Schizosaccharomyces pombe: one gene and its partners. Each later gene encodes a partner of the first gene's protein in a complex. Each region holds a gene or a part of one and is shown in the gene's direction. Other genes may lie near its edges.

Region 1 (5,308 bases):
TTATTCGTGAGTTGTCGAAAATAAAAACACCAAAAATAAAATAAAGCAAAAAAAAAGCGTTCAATGAGAAAATTTAAACTCACAAATTATTTTGAAATGACCAGCCACTATAGGTGTAGTAAATGAATTTAGAAAAAAATAATGCAAAGGTGGTAAAGCAGACGAAACCGTAGATAAAGTGATTAAAATTACTTTTAAATGAAAAGGATATAAAGTGATGCAAAAAATTCGGCGGGTAATTAGAAACGAGGATTTGACGTGTTTTCAAAAATTTGATAGAACGTAACAAAAAAACTATATAATAATAAACCAGGCAACTTTTGTGTGTTTCGAATATTTTTGAAAGTAATGTATAAATAAAAAATGGAAGTTATCCAGCTCTACGATTTAACACTCCATAGAACAAAAAAGAGGATAAAGAGACAACGACACGTGCTTTCGCGTTTTATATTTTTAAACGCGGAAAGCAATAAAAACAATCAACTTCTTAACAACTAAGGGAAAAGAACTCGCCAGAAAACTGGTAATACTACTGTAACGTAAACAAACGTCGTTACCCACGAAAGACAAAAAAGTCGGAAAAGGATATGGATATCTAATGTACGAAAACAACTTTATGGATCCAAAAGTAATATCTTCCTCAAGTCCTTCCCCAATTGTCTCGCCGGTACTGTGAAAAGGGAGAAATCGCTATTTTTTGAAAATTTTTCGTGTCGATAAAGTCGCGTTATTTTTCGTTATTTTTCGTTATCTTTCTCAGCGCATCAATCCAAACTGACCTTGAACTGTATTAATCTGACCTAACAATACTATGTACTGCAGTGTAATCTCGTTAAAGTAATTTAAGAAATTTCATTATGCAGACATAATGATGCGTTAGGCTGAAAACCGTCTAGTGGTATTGTTTAAAAAAGATGGCCGTGCTATTGAACTAAGAAGTTTAGTAGGACAGTAATGTTTTATTATATTATATTCTTTAGGTAAGTTAACTATAGCAATGAATCTTTATCACTAGAATCTGACTATGGGTGACTTATAGGTTATGGCGATAGGTAACGCAATTTAGTATCGTTTCCTTGGTCAAAACCTGAAATAAAGATCTGGGAACAAAGTCAAATATTGTTTAGCATGTAGTATATAAATATATTATTTAATCTTTATAATTATCATTATCTTCTTAGCTTACACTATGTTGTCACATTAATTTTTTTTATTTTTTTATTTTTTTGCGTTGACAGGTAGAATTCCCTTCAACGTGTAAATAAAACTACTATTTTCCATATGCAATTTCATTGATTTGAAAATATTTTCTAAAATCCTAACATCAATCGATTTATTGTTTATTGTTTTTTTTTTTGAAATCAATGTTATAGATTCTGAAACAGTCATTTTTTCCAAAAGGTTTTCAGACCTAATAATTAGAATATGAACACTAAATTGCTGTGAGTACTAATATAGTAAACTTTATTCCTTCAACTTTGGTATTTTATTTAATTTATCACTTTTTGGAAGCATTACTTCAACTAGAATTTTTATAATATGAACAAAGCGTTTGTCTGGATTGATTGTAAAAAATTGCAAAACGAACGAAAACACTCTACAGAATAGCACCAGTGTATTGTAATCGGGATTTAAAATTAGAAGTATTTCTGAATTATCTGGTCCATTTTAAATAAATTATCGCACGTTTTCGCTAAGAGTAAGCATAAAGGTGTAACAATATTCACATCCATTGAGTTAACAAATTCATTGTTTATTTTTTATTTTTAATGCTTGGTTAAATTACATTTTAATTTTAATTTTTTAAACGGAACTAAATATCTATTTGGAGTCTATTATACTGAAATTGAAATGGATTATTTACTCGAATACCTTGTAAACAATTGGTGTTCTTGTTATTTACACAATTCCACAAAAGTAAGGATAATTTACTGCATCTTAATTTTAGTATCCTCATTATGCTAAATCAATTAGACAATCCAAAAACCACATGCAGTGAACGAATAGTATTTTATAGCTGTATTTTTTGATCGTCAAGTATTGCAAAGCGACATCTCACTATAAAACAATTTCGATTTGAAAAAATGCTATCTGCATAAGATATTCTATAGCCAAATGAAATAATATCCGCTGGTCATAAAGGTTAAGTTTGAAGAAATGCAATTCCCAAGTACTAGGTACTTGAAGTATATGTTTACAATTCGATTAGGTACATATTTAAACTGTACCGTTTAAAATTGCATAAAAACATTGAATCAAACTTTTTTTATTTTTTTGTTTAAAATTTTTGCCTATCTATAATTAGCAAGATGTGATACAATTGTGATATTTAGTCTTGCAAAAATACTCATCATGGATCGTATTTTCAATAGAAACCTAACAAAGTGTTTTGAGAATGTTTTGTTTTATAATAATAGAAAGCATGCAAAAACACTTGTACCTTCTGCTAAACAAGTTTTCTTTGAATACGAATCGAAAACATTGCTTTCTACAACGGAGAGTAACAAAGTGACAACGAAACCCTAGTCCACCGAAAAGTTGTCTTCTGCAAAGCACAGAAATTACCCATTGAGGTTTCTTCCGCGGTCAATTGTATTGAGAAATCGAATTTCAAAGATGCAAATTTTAAAAGATCAGGAGAACTTAAATCCCGATGGAGGTAGCTTTGTTTTAATTACACCGCCATTGTCTCCTCCTAAACAGAAATCTTTATCATATACAAATATTTCGAGGAGACATGGCATGCGAGCTTGCATGAAAGGAATTGTTTACGAAGTTTACAAAAATCAACCGAAACTTTGGTTGCAGCAAGAATTAATATGGTTGCGTCGTAAACGGATTCATCCAATTCCTAAAGCTCGTCGTAATAATCATGTAGGTCGATGGGCTAACAGGCATTCCAATGTCTCTTCATCTTCTGGCTCTCGCGGACGCAGTAGTGTCTCTTCTCGAGACTCGTCACCAAGTTACAGCGGTGCTCTCCGGTCTGCTGAAAGAAGCATCTCTTCTAGTCCTTCCACTATTGAGGCCCGTAGAAGAAAATCGGCTCGTGGAAATGGGCTTAATGGTGCCATCGATGTTGCCAACCTTCCCTTTGAAGAGTTGCCGAATTTCTGTCCTGACATGTCTGTACTGGACAACCGTACGCATCCTCGTACACTAAAAGCTGAGTGGAAAGGTCCGCCTTTGGACCTTAGTGATGACCCTTATCGCGATCTCTTGCACCCTGCTGAATTACATTTGGCTTCGACTCTTCGTCTTCCATGTTTGATTTATCTTGATAACAAAAAAAGAATATTTGCGGAATGGCATCATCGTCGTCAACAAGGACTTACTTTTCGAAAAACTGATGCTCAAAGGGCTAGTCGAGTTGACGTAAACAAAGCCAGCCGTTTATGGAAGGCATTTCATGAAGTCGGCTTTTTCGACGATTAAACCTTTTACCTTCTGTGCTAAGATGGAAATATTTTGTTGAATCACCCATCTTGCTCTCCAAATACCCTTTCATACCAAATTTGCTTTTATTGTTATTTTCTCTGCTTAAAAGACTTTACTACCCCATTTACCAATTTTTAAAAAAGTCTTTCTTTTTGTACACTCAGCAAAGTGTTAACTTAAAGCTACATTTTGTGCTTGTTTATACTTTGTAACCATTTTATACCCTTCTTTTCTCTTCAGATTTTTGGTTGGTATGCTTAATTAAGCTTAATTCGTTCTTTATATTGTCTTCTTTTCATTTTATTATGATCCTTGTATTTAAAAAAAAGAGAAGCTATTGTATATATGGTCTTTGGGAGTGCCGTTTGTATTTTCTAACATTGTACCTAGTATATCATGCTTTTAAAAAAAGGCTACCTAAAAAATGCTCAAAAATTTTTGATGAGAGGCTGTGTTCTTCCAACTCTCTACTCTCCATTTTGATTCCTTTATTTATACTTAATTATATATTTAAAAGCAGAAAAATGAGGTAGAAAATACTTTGCGATCATCCTTGTTGAAGCATTTTCTTTAATAATCATTCTTTTTATATTCCTCAGTATTTCTTAAGATTTTGTGACATATTTAATGCATCTTTCCATTGTAGTAGTAACTAACAATTCGGCTTTTTTCTTTGAGCTTTTTGCATTTTCAATTATTTACATTTTCCATACTACTCAATTAGTCAATGTTACCTATATGATATCGTCACTTGTTTTTTTGTAAAAATTGAGGGTAGGGTTAAACACAACACATTGTGACTGCTTTGATTAGACAATTTGAAAGACTAAAAGCACAATCGTCCCCAACCCAACCCATATTAACAATGGCAAATCTGAGAACACAGAAGCGTCTTGCTGCCTCTGTTTTAAAATGCGGCAAGCGCAAAGTTTGGATGGATCCCAATGAGATCAGTGAAATTAGCAATGCTAACAGCCGTCAAAATATCCGCAAATTGGTCAAGGATGGTTTGGTCATTCGCAAGCCCAATTTGATGCACTCTCGTTTCCGTATCCGTAAAACTCATGCTGCCAAGCGTCTTGGTCGTCACACCGGTTATGGTAAGCGTAAGGGTACTGCTGAGGCTCGTATGCCCTCTACTGTTGTTTGGATGCGTCGTCAACGTGTCTTGCGTCGTCTCCTTCGCAAGTACCGTGAGTCTGGTAAGATAGATAAGCATCTTTACCACACTCTTTATTTGGAAGCCAAGGGTAACACCTTCAAGCACAAACGTGCCTTGATTGAACATATCCAACGTGCCAAGGCCGAGGCCAACCGTACCAAGTTGATCCAAGAGCAACAAGATGCTCGTCGTGCTCGTGCCAAGGCTGCCCGTCAACGTAGAGCCAAGGCTGTTGAAGAAAAACGTGAGCAAATTTACACTGCTGCCGAAAAGATCGAGGAATAATTGCCTTAATACATTTATGTTTTGACATATGCACTTTTGGTTTAGGCGGTAAATTAATTTTTCAATAGTGTTTTAAATATACTATGCTTGTTGTGTACATTAGTAAGGTGAAACGAATTCGTAGATTGTAGAACTTTCTCCTTTGACAAATGACTTCGGACTGGAAGTTAAAAAATTTTTTCAATTCATCTGTACTAATTAATCTATGAGTATGTTATGTCGTTCATAGTTAAACAGCACTAAGTTTAAACTACTGAGGTATTGTGTTTTATTATTGATTTGTAACATATAATCATTTATAGTAGTTGTCTAAGCACATTCCATGTACTATCTATCTATCTATAGTCCTGTTTTCAAGAACACACAACGATAAGCGTTGTACTATCCCTCAACCTGCACCATGGTTGTAACGGTCAAATCAAT
Region 2 (5,544 bases), 650 kb from region 1:
TGTGCTATATTTCAAAAACAAAAAAAATAATACAACATAATGAAGATAAGTCGGCCTTTGAATGGTCTTAAGCAACTAGTAACGATACCTATTAATAGTGCACTCGATATATATTGTATTACTTTTTACATTTCTAAATTTCTGCAAATTTTTTACGTTGTTTAACGGTACAATACCATCGTATATCATATACTATTGATCCTTAAATACCATAATTCGAAAGGTAAGCTAAGAAACATTGTTTTTCTTGTTCTGTAGCGGATGAGGCATAGATACTCGCAAGTATTTATTGATTGAATGACTTTGTTCTAACTAAATCATACCATGAAGATTGAAGTAAAAATAAATCTGTAAAAGTTACATTTTATGCTTATTTATGTCTTTTGTTCTGAACAATTCATTATATCCATTTAGTTTACATGATTAACAATAATTGTGCTAGGATGTATTTCGCTATAGCAAATAGCAAATTGCTGTTGATCGCATTATATATGAATAATGCAGCACTGTAACACGAGCAGAGTACTTGGTTCGCACAAAAAACTGTGACGAAAAAGCTTAGAAAGTGCATTCTGAAGGGATTCTAGTTTTACCTGAATATTACTGAGAAAGAAGACATTTTCGATTTTTTTAATTAAAAACATACATCGCATACATTCAAAATTCGCTTCTAAATTAAATATAGTTCAAAATCGACGCAAAGTAAACGAACGTCTCTAAAAGCTGCACTAGCAAATCAATAAACTATAATCCTTGAGCCTAAAATTTATAATATATATATTAGCAGCATGGAAGCCGTGATCGCGAATATTCTACAGCAGTTGGGATTCGATAGCATGACTAAAGCAGCAGAAGCATCCTTTGTTGAAGCTGTGGACAAATGTAAGTCCTGTCGAACCGAGAAAATTAAAATTCTTTATTTCTAATAGCAATAATAGATTTGAGGAACTCTTTTCGAGAACTTGCTCTTCATACTCAATTGAGCAAACACACAATTCCTACGACTAAAGATGTGGCCTTATGGCTCAATTTGTTGAATATACCCATGTCAAGCCTTCAAACAGAATTAGAAAAATATTTAAAACCTTTACCTCCTGCAATTAATGATGAACTAGATAGACTGGCCAATGAAAGTCAGGATATCCCTTCAAAATTCAAATCATCCTTGGATTCGAAAATGGTATCTCAACTTTTGGGATCCCTGGCAGTGTCTCAAAATAGACCAGCTTATGTCGTTAATCATTTACCTCCTTTTCCTGCATCACATACTTACATGGCTACCCCCGTATATCCCGTTCGTCCTACATCTCCTAAACAGATTCGTGAACTCGCAACTCAAGAATCCAGGCTTGCTGAACATGCTCTTCGTAAAATTTTAAATGTTAATCAACCACGTTCTGCCGATTCGCCTCGTCATGCCTCATTTGAAAAAGCGTGCTCCGAGCTAAATCTCGATGTTTCGTCATTTCACTTAGTAAATTGGGAATCCCAAAAATGGAGCTCCCAAAGGTGAATATACTTGTTAATTTCTTTCCTTTTACGTTAATCAAAAAAAGATTAACTTATTTCCTTTTTTTTTTTAATTTTTCTCAACGACAGGTCCTGACTGTAACCCAATCTGATTTGACATTGGTCGAACTTCCTTCATGTGTCCATCCACCCTATTTTTGCATTAGCTTTTCTTTCTCTATAATAATGTTCCCTATAGACTTACACTTGAAAAAATCTTTGAACTGTAATACAGACGACGTCGTTCTCATGTGCACTTACTTTTTCACAGATATATTGTTTCATGCATTTATATGCCGGCTTTTCAAGTTTCTCTTTATGACTTTTTTGTGACATTGCGAATGAAAATTTCCTTTTCTCTTTGTGCAGTTAGTTCCGCTTTCAATCAACCTATTTTTATTATTTGTCGCTACTCCTTCATTCAATAAAATTGCCTTGATCCCCTCTTTCTCTTGTATTTAAGTAGTAAAATAACGTAAGGAGTTAATAAACAAATGAAATAATAGAGGCTCTAGTACAAATTCTACGCCACAGGGTTTTTCGATCGTTCTGTGCGAATGTAACTAAGTTGTACTTTTTTGTGTATTTACGAATATTTGCTTTAAAGTAATCGCTATCAGACTTGTCTTGCAACTGTATTTTTATAAAGTTCCAGCATAAAGCAATTTCTTCAGTGAATACGCAGCATCTCTTCATTACACCCTTAGGTTATTTGAAATGGGTAAAATCCAAGTATGAATAATCTTATCCAAGGTTTTGAAGACTAATGTCATATGCTAACGACAGTAGATTATATGAAATGTATGTAGACAAATACTACCGATGCTTTAAAGCGCATAGCGATTTTTACCGTACTATGGTTAAATCAAGCCTACAAATCTCGGTGACGAGTTGAACATTAGATTATAAACATTCATGGAGGAAAAGACACCAGAAAATGAGCAATCGTATGTATTTCAGGGAACTTTTTTAGTTTGTTAAACTAACTTGTAGGAAAAAAACATTTGATCCAAAGGACTCTATGAAAATAGAAGAAACTAGTACAAATGGTAGCTCACAGCCATCTCAACCTTCAAATATCAAGCTTTCTATAGGGTCTATCTTAGAAAGTTCTAATGATAACGGAGATCCTGAGTACTCGGAAAATGGAATGGGGAATATGAATATGAATACTTTACCAATGGCTACATCGACACCCATGTCATATACCAAACAACCTTCTGAAGCCAAATATCCAAATTCAGTTTGGGAAAGGAAAGGGGTTTCCGACCAAGAGGAAAATACAAGCTCTGTTAAACGTCAAAAAACTCTTCCTACTCAGTCATCAGGAGAAGAGGAAGCCAAGTATTCACATCCTGGAGCGCCAACGGCTACAAGTGCTGATTCCATTAGTATGGAATCGCGTCCATCCAATTTATCAACTTCCTTGTCCAAAACGACATCTTATCCGCAATTCCAAGTTCGACAATTCGTTTCTCCGATAATCAGTATAGATAATAGTGCGTTGGAACCTTTTCTTAACCGATATCCAGCGTCTGAATCTTTATTTCCAGTCACCGAATATGAATACACTCCTTGGCTTGAATTTCCTCTTTTATATTCCTCAATTGGTAAGTTCGTTCGTGTGACAATCGACATCAAATGGCTGAATGCAGCCATCAATCCCAGACTTTGCAGACGAGAAATATGGGGGACCGATGTGTATACTGATGATTCCGATATTGCTACTATACTTGCCCATTGTGGATGCTTTTCTCTTTTGAAGCCAGTCAGAAAAATTGCCGTTGTCGACTTGTACATACTTCCTCCTTTAGTTCATTACAAAGGCACTAGGAAAAACCAAATTGAGAGTAGAAGCTGGTCTTCTCGTCAAGATGGCATAAGTCTTAAAATAAAAGAAGTAACTTGGAAGCCAGCGTGTGCCTCAATTTTTGAAAACTCCATACATACACTCACTCTGGAAGAACGGCTACAAGCTCGCTTAGAGCTATCACGCTCTTCTACTTTTAAAATCTAATTTTTTGATATTATTAATCGGTTTCTTTTCAAAAATATTTTTTTTTCTTTTTATATATCTGCCTGTACCAAGAAATTACTTATTTTTCAACACTTCATTCAATTTCACTTTCGCGAATTTACGGAATCGCAAAAGCTTCTCGCTCTACTTCGCTAACTGTCTTTTTTGTCTATGTCAAATTCGTGTAATAATGTGTCCGTTGATGTGCAATTACTACATAAGCAATTAGCGTTGTACAATATCGCATTGGTTTTGCAAAATTCCTTTGCCTTGGCGTCCTCGTTCCTAGTTACTCGTGCGAACGCTCGCCTCCAAAATTAGGTATCCCGCAGATAGTATATTGATCCGATGATCATAGCAATCAATAGTAGACTTCCGCAGTCTGGTTTGGATATTTTCGGTTCTACAATCAAAGTATATACGTTTTTAATTTAAATACCTTCAATACTATTAAACCCTTTTTTTTGTTAATAGAGGCCTCTTTTTTTTTTCTTTTTTTTTTTTACCACTGCTTTATTTACATGACAACGATACGTCGGTCTCATTACTCGTGCCATAACAACACAAACAGACAGTTTGTCTTTGTTCAGCTGATTAACTGAAGATACAAAAGAACAACGTGAATAATTAATTATCTGGCATTGTCTAATTTCCTCCGTGTATTGAGTATTGTTGATTATAAAGTTTGCGGAACTAATGAGGACGCGGAATGGAATCATAGCGGAATTACAGAAATTTTCATTACTTTTGCGCCGTCGTTTCAAAATGTAAAATTGCCGCTCATTATTTAAATTTCAAAAATCTAGGGCAAGTTAAAACATGTAGAATATATTATTTACGAGTATAAAATCGATGGTAAAACAAAACTTTGAAAATATTCGAAAAGGTGTAGCAACCTTTTAGGCGACGATCGTAAGACGCAGCACACTGTACATCAATTTATCCTTGTTGGATGCTAAATATTTATTTTTGCACTAACAACTAGGGCGGCGGCCAACATCATACATTACATATGCGTTAGACTGGTTTTCGGAACCCTACCCTAAATAAGGCTGAATGACTTGAGAGCGGGGGCGGTACGCTTTCTTCTTTTCCCAACCATAACTTTGGAGTACACGACATAAATAAGAGCGTTGCCTTAAAAGCCGCGTGCAACTCAATTTCTGGTATATCAAGATTCCAGTTCTTGGTTTCTGACTGGTTCAACGACTAGCCATCTACTACTCAATTGGTGAATTGGACGACGAAACTGTGTATTATCTTGTTTCACTTGCTAAAGAGGAGACGTACATCTGAGGTACAGCACTCTATTAGTCTTAATCGCTAAGTGCTTTTTCGATCCCTCAAAATTATCTGCAGGATTGCAAGGTCGTCAAAATCACCGTGATTTCTTTTATTACGTTGGTAAAGTCATTCAAAGTACTGAGAAATTGTTGTTGGCGATTTTAACTCAGTTTTGCTTTTGCTCTATTTTCAAAAAGAAGAAAAACGATCATATATATATTTTATTGTGAAGACTATTTGAGAATATTTTTGGAAATCATGTATTCTCTTTAACAAATTCACGTGAATATCTTCTTTCGTGTCGTTATAGGTTCAACAAGTAATTCTTTTATCGACTTATAGTATTTTTTTAAAACTTGATTTTTGCGACGCTCGTCTTACTTACTCACTGCTGTCCAAGTGACTTTTCGTTTGTACCTCTCATAATTTTTTATTTATACTTCTTAAAAACTTGAGCCTCTCGTTGTTTATCACTTATTGATCGATTGACTTCATTTTAAGTTGATTTTTTTCTATCTTAACTGTGCGATTTTGAAAGTTCAACTCATCTTTCCTTTCAGCGAACACATTTAACTAGCTCAGTTACATACATTACAGCTTTCGTTAAAAGTCTCTACTTTAGACGTTATCATAAAAGATTATACAATCTGCTTTTGTCTTCTTTGCTATTGCTTGATCGTCTGGATACTATCCTTACAATTGCACTAAATCAAACCATCTATTTTCTTATTTTT
Region 3 (5,797 bases), on another chromosome or scaffold:
TAGTCGTGTAATCATCATAGGGAGCTGGAAATTCAACATATCTATTTCCTCTAAAGTTAAGACGGAACTGGTTGAGATGAAGCGCCTCATAATGTAAATTCAATTGCTGGTTTAACATTGCCCCAAATACCTTAACTTCGTCGGGCAGAGAAAGCCACTTCATTGAAGGTACCAAATTAATTAATTTTGCGAAGAAACCTAAGATTTGTAAGTCTAAAGAAATGTATTTTTCAACATTCGGGTGCAAAACTTTAATGGCTACATCTTGAGTCACTGGCGCATCAGAGATATTTTTCTGTCGAAACCCTATAGATTGTAGCATACTTGTAAAGTAGGAATTATCTTGCTGCGTAGCTGCTTTCTTGATGGTAGCCGTATAGACTTGAGCAATTGCTCCAACACCTATAGGTATTGGGTTAAAATTAACAAAAATTTCCTCGATAGATTCCACTTTATAAGTCTTGCAGATGACTGATTGAGTATAGGCAAGGCTGTGGGGCGTTACATGTGAATGTAATTTGGACAGTGTTTTACAGAAAGCAGGAGGAAACAAATCTGTCCGTGAAGCAGCCCATTGTCCCAACTGCAAAATAAAAAAATAATGTTAGTAACATGATAAGCGTAAATTCAAAACGTACCTTGATAAACGTTGCTCCTGCTCTTTCTAATTGAGTAACGAGGAAACGAAGCCAAATGGATACGGTTAAAGACGACAAAGATCGAAGATGCAGGAAAGAAATAAGAGCGATAAACGGTAAGGTAATAATAATTGGAGAGAAAATAATAAATAAATTAAATGACCTGAGGAGAATATTAAAAAATTGTTTTATTTTTCCAAAAATAGAACGAGGTCGATTGCTTCTCTCTTCTAATTCAAGTTCGTCAAAGGAGAAAATATTATTCTTTCGATTTTTGACTCTGTATAAAATCCATAATCCTCCGACCGTAAAAGGGAGGACAAGAAATGTAATCCTTAGTATCCTCCATTGCTTCTGGTCTTCACTTTTTTGTCGGGTTGTAAACTTTCTTGCAAATATAGGTTTGGGGAATAAAGATATATGCTTCAATCGATTAACCAGTACGTGCTTTTTTTTGTATGGTGACCAAACTGACTGTGTCCCGCATAACCTTTTCCATCTTGTGTTCTGCGAGTTAACGACAGGAATATAATTTCTTTGAATAATGAAAGCAAAACGAGAGTTTGCAGAAGGAATCATGCTTAGACTAAGTCCCGAACGTATGTGAGAATTCCAGTGAGAAAAACTAATCATGTTCACCAATTATTGACTTTCAGAAGAGCATTTCCTTATCAAGAATCAAAAAAATAAATAAACTAATTACAATGGGTATTTTCGATTGAAAACACTGGCAAACCTGATAAAGAAAATAGGAATTGTTCAATAAATGTGTATAGCAGCTACTAAAAGAGGTGTTTCAAAGAATTTAGGAAACCCTGTCAACCTTTAATATCTTGAAAATAAAGAATGCACCAGTTCAAAAATATTGCTCAAATTTACGTGTCACTAGTGTCTATTGGTGTCAACGTCGAATGACGCTGTCTACTTGTGACTGGGAGAAAGAAAAATAATAATTGTTAGCCAAAATGAAGACTGTAATAATAATCAATTCTTTCATTTTATAAATAAAATATTGACTAATTAATGCTCAGTTCCTATTTGGATTCTATAGAATTGAACTTACAGTATGATAAACTGGATATGATCATCTAGTACGTGAAGAAACATTTTTTTATTCATTATTACCAATAAAATGTAATTTATCAAAATTTCAAAGTTCTAATTGAAGGGAAGATTATTAAAATATAAAAAATGACTGATTATAGGAATCACATTTTTTTTCCTTATACACCTATAATCGGTAATATTCAAATAAGTTAAATAATCAGTTCATGGTAGTATTCTGCTGCCAAAGAGAGATAATTGTAAAATCGCTAGCAGTTGATAAAATAAAGTATAAATTGAAATTAAAATGGAATTGTTTGTACTGAATTAAAAAGCTTTACCATCATTACTTCAATTGCCGTTAACTCAGAGACTAGCATAGAGTTTATCTATAGAGACTCTTTGATTGATTTAATAAAAAGCCTTTGATCGACGATGGTTCATTCGCCAAGTTTCATTGATGAGTAACAGTTGACTGAGAATATTTCACCTAACCCATTCTTGATAAAAGTATAAATTGGAAGTGCTAATTTAGAACAAATTATTAAGTTCTTGGCTCAAAATTTTGAGATGTCCCTACAGGATGTGTAAAAGTTGAGTATGAATATTATTACTGATGCCCAGCTATCAAATGTCATCCTCTCCCCAACACTACCAATTCATTCGAAAACATACATATTGAATGAAAACACACGAAAATCAACGATACTGTTTTTTAGATTCTGACATTTGTAAATTACGAGAGGGTATTTTGAACGAAGTTGAAGAATTAATTCAGGATGACCGAAAATTTGCAGTCGGAATCAATTCCCCATGAAATACTCCCTAAGGAGCCTTTTGATTTACCAATGAACAACTTAAAAAGCTCTCCTAAAAATAAAGATTCAGAGAAACGAATAAATAATTCGATCGCTGAAAGTGAGCAGGTTGTTGATTCGGCTCTATCTAATCCAGAGACCAATGCTAATGAGGATATTATCGCACCTCAATTGCCTTCTCAAAATTCTGAAATCATTGAAAAAAACTCGCCAGTGAACAAACTGAACAGTTCCACGTCCCTCACAACTCATCAGTTAGCGTCACTTCCTAAATTAGAGGTAACAGATCATGATAATGTATCTGAGGCAGAAACTGTAGTCTTAAATGAAGATGAAGAGAAAGAAACATCTTTAGTTGGTTCGGTATCAGTCACTGAGGACTTAGGTGACTCAAGTGCAATTGGCAGAACCATACTGGTAAACAACTCTGTGGAACCTCAGATGGAAAACACAGCAAATATAACCATTGTTAGTCCTTCATTGAAGGAATCTGACTTTGAGTCTGAAGAAAAAGCTACCAATGACAACAATGGACTCATAGAGACTAACCACAACTCGAAACTTGAGGAGTCTTCTGAGCATGAGGAGGAAGAAGACGAAGAGTCGAATATTGAAAGAACCGAAGATTCTGACCACCAGATACCACAAAGAGGTGGAACTTTAGAAGCACCCAGAAAAGGTGGTCCTCGAAGTGGCGTTGGAAGTCGAAAGCGTAAACGTGCAACAGTTTCTCGAAAATGGTCTACTAACAGTGAGAGCAAAATAAAAAGGGTAGCTCTTGAGACCAGCCAAGAGGAATCCGATCGTGAGATTGCAGATCGTCGTTCCGCATCTGAACAGGCTCATGAAGCTGACGATGAAAAGGCTATAAAACGGAAAGAAGCGTTTGATGCTTTGCTAAATATAGAAACGGAGTTTACTTTTTTACGAAACCGTTTATATGGGAAGAAACTGTTAAAGCTGAACGAGCATGAGGAAATGATACAAAACGAAACCCATGAGCGTTTTAATGCCTGCATTGATCTTATAACAGAGCGGCGAGATGATCGTGTGCGTTTAGCTACTGAAAACCTCATGAAACAACTTGGGAATATAAAAAACGTAATGGACTATGTAACGAAACAGAGGAAGTATCAGTTACTGTTTGATAAAAGAAGAATACGACAAGCGCTTCTAACCAAAATTGCAACGAAGTGCTTTCAGCTTTTAAACAAACAAAAATCTGTTCACGATCCCACATATATTACTCAAAAAACCATGTCATATCGCCAAAGTGCCTTGTTACAGAAGCAACGAATTGAATATGAAGCTGCAGTTTTGTGTGAGCTTAATAGTTTTGCTGGGTTTCCGACAGCACCTATTATCGAAACAGCTTCTTTTGATGACATCCGCAACGACCTTTTAGAAATGGGATGCCTCAGTGAAAATCAAGACTAATTTCAAGCATCCTCATTCCCCGCGATAATTCCTAATTTCCTTCACGTTTTACTTCAATTTTGACACACAATTTCCTTTTTGGTACGGTGTCAAGAGTGTTTTTTTTTTTTCAGAGCCTAGTTAAAACTCTTGCCTTTCGTTATCTATTCTAATGTATTTTCTTTTTTTTTTTTTTTTTTTCTAAGCGATAATATAACACATTCGCTCTTCGTTTGTTTCATTTTCTTTAGAATTTACATATTCGGTTAATATTTTTAATTCAGTATTTGTTTCTGACTTAACTAATGAATTAATTTTACAGCGATTCTTTAAGTTTGTAACAGCTATCCGTCTTACTCATTTTGCCTTATAATAAATTTGCTTATGAACAATTAAGTATGTTTAAATTTGATAATAATCATGTGCTTCGCAATCAAAACTAGTTAAGCAAAGTATCCTACTTATCGTTCGATAAAGCTGACTTGTTGACGCATTCAATGGTGTGGCACTTAGCGCCGTAAACAAGTCCTATGTACATTTGAAGGATTTTAATTTAACTGATTTAATAAAAAAAAAAGATTTAGTTTGTTCAAATAAGTAAAGTAATACTCCTTTCACTTAGACTCAATCCGTTTGATGATAAAAAGGTGCGTTATACGGAAATGAAGTTTCCTCTTCTCATAATCGTTTTCTTTTTATATTGAATAATTTTGTTAAATGTATAAATGGAATAAAAAGATTTTCTTTTTCAACAAAACATTCCTCTATTCGCAATTGCATTGCTAACTTTCACCAAGTCGGATGCCAACTGCCTTTTACCTAATTTCAGTGTCAAAGAGCCAACAAACATGTTAGAAGGCCTAGTTGCCGGTATGAATTATACCTTTTTTTGAAAGACATTGATATTAATAAAATAATTAGGCCTCTTGAACAAAATTTTAGGTTCGTATGTTGACAACTTGGATACTAAACAACTAAACATCGGCGTTTGGGGTGGCCATGTTAGTTTGCATAATTTACGAATAAAACCTGAGGTAACTAAAAATGAACGATTGATTGCAGTTTCACTGACAATTGTTTTATAGGCCTTAGATAAACTCGGAATTCCCATTGAAATCACTAGTGGTTTAATTGGCACGTTTACGCTGGAAATTCCATGGTCGAATCTTCGGAACAAATCTTTAACGATCAATATTGAAGACATATATTTGTCAATTCATCCCCAAGCGAAAAACTCTTTAACACGCGATGAGTTGGAGCAATCTCAACAAGCTTTAAAGCAGGAACAGCTGGATAGTTTTGAAATCTTACGGAAAAATTTTCGAGAAACTTTAGAAGAGTCTTCATCAAATCCAAATATAAGTAGAAAACAATCTTTTATTGAGTATCTTATTGCCAAACTTACTGATAACATTCAAATATACATCGAAAGAATTCACTTGCGGTTTGAAGATAATTTGAGTGATCTTGAAAAACCTTATTCTCTTGGATTGACGCTTTATTCGTTAAGAGTAACCTCTACAGATGCTAGTTTTACCGAATATTTGCTTTCAACCGATCCAATTCCTTCCTCTTGCATTCATAAAATTATTACTGTTGATTATTTCTCAATATACTGGATAAGTAAGTGTGAAATTTCTAAATGCACTACTACAGAAGACATATTCTCTTATTTAAAGAACCTGATTCCTAGTGCAGAAAAGTCACCTGCTTATAATTACATTTTAAAGCCGCTACGGGCAACCGCCCATGTTGTCTTATTTCGACATCCGACAGACCAGATAATGCAATTAAGGGGAAAATTATCTGTTGAAGAAATATCAATTACGCTAAGTGATCATATGTATTACAGTTTACTTGGTGTTATTGACTACTTTCGTG

Evidence for each region.
Region 2: laf2 (region 1) and rxt3 share a complex: the UniProt entries of both Schizosaccharomyces pombe proteins name them as parts of the RPD3C(L) complex.
Region 3: laf2 (region 1) and dep1 share a complex: the UniProt entries of both Schizosaccharomyces pombe proteins name them as parts of the RPD3C(L) complex.

The regions. Positions count from the first base shown.
Region 1 is NC_003421.2:396,464-401,771, forward strand, and holds laf2 (Clr6-associated factor 2 Laf2), read left to right. Parts: upstream 1-2,540; 5' UTR 2,541-2,616; coding exon 2,617-3,435; 3' UTR 3,436-4,039; downstream 4,040-5,308. Other genes in the region: rpl1902 (60S ribosomal protein L19), read left to right, coding at 4,304-4,885. UniProt on the Schizosaccharomyces pombe protein: Component of the RPD3C(L) histone deacetylase complex (HDAC) responsible for the deacetylation of lysine residues on the N-terminal part of the core histones (H2A, H2B, H3 and H4).
Region 2 is NC_003421.2:1,043,043-1,048,586, forward strand, and holds rxt3 (Clr6 and Rpd3L histone deacetylase complex LCCL domain subunit Rxt3), read left to right. Parts: upstream 1-2,424; coding exon 2,425-2,456; exon of another isoform or gene 2,457-2,502; coding exon 2,503-3,526; 3' UTR 3,527-4,415; downstream 4,416-5,544. Other genes in the region: taf8 (transcription factor TFIID complex subunit 8), read left to right, coding at 789-882, 939-1,513; SPOM_SPCC1259.16 (uncharacterized protein), read right to left, coding at 1,580-1,661, 1,715-1,845. UniProt on the Schizosaccharomyces pombe protein: Component of the RPD3C(L) histone deacetylase complex (HDAC) responsible for the deacetylation of lysine residues on the N-terminal part of the core histones (H2A, H2B, H3 and H4).
Region 3 is NC_003423.3:3,797,671-3,803,467, reverse strand, and holds dep1 (Rpd3L histone deacetylase complex subunit, Sds3-like family protein Dep1), read left to right. Parts: upstream 1-2,318; 5' UTR 2,319-2,461; coding exon 2,462-3,937; 3' UTR 3,938-4,283; downstream 4,284-5,797. Other genes in the region: cqd1 (ABC1 kinase family protein ), read right to left, coding at 1-583, 639-1,271; vps1301 (lipid transfer protein), read left to right, coding at 4,765-4,786, 4,838-4,950, 5,002-5,797. UniProt on the Schizosaccharomyces pombe protein: Component of the RPD3C(L) histone deacetylase complex (HDAC) responsible for the deacetylation of lysine residues on the N-terminal part of the core histones (H2A, H2B, H3 and H4).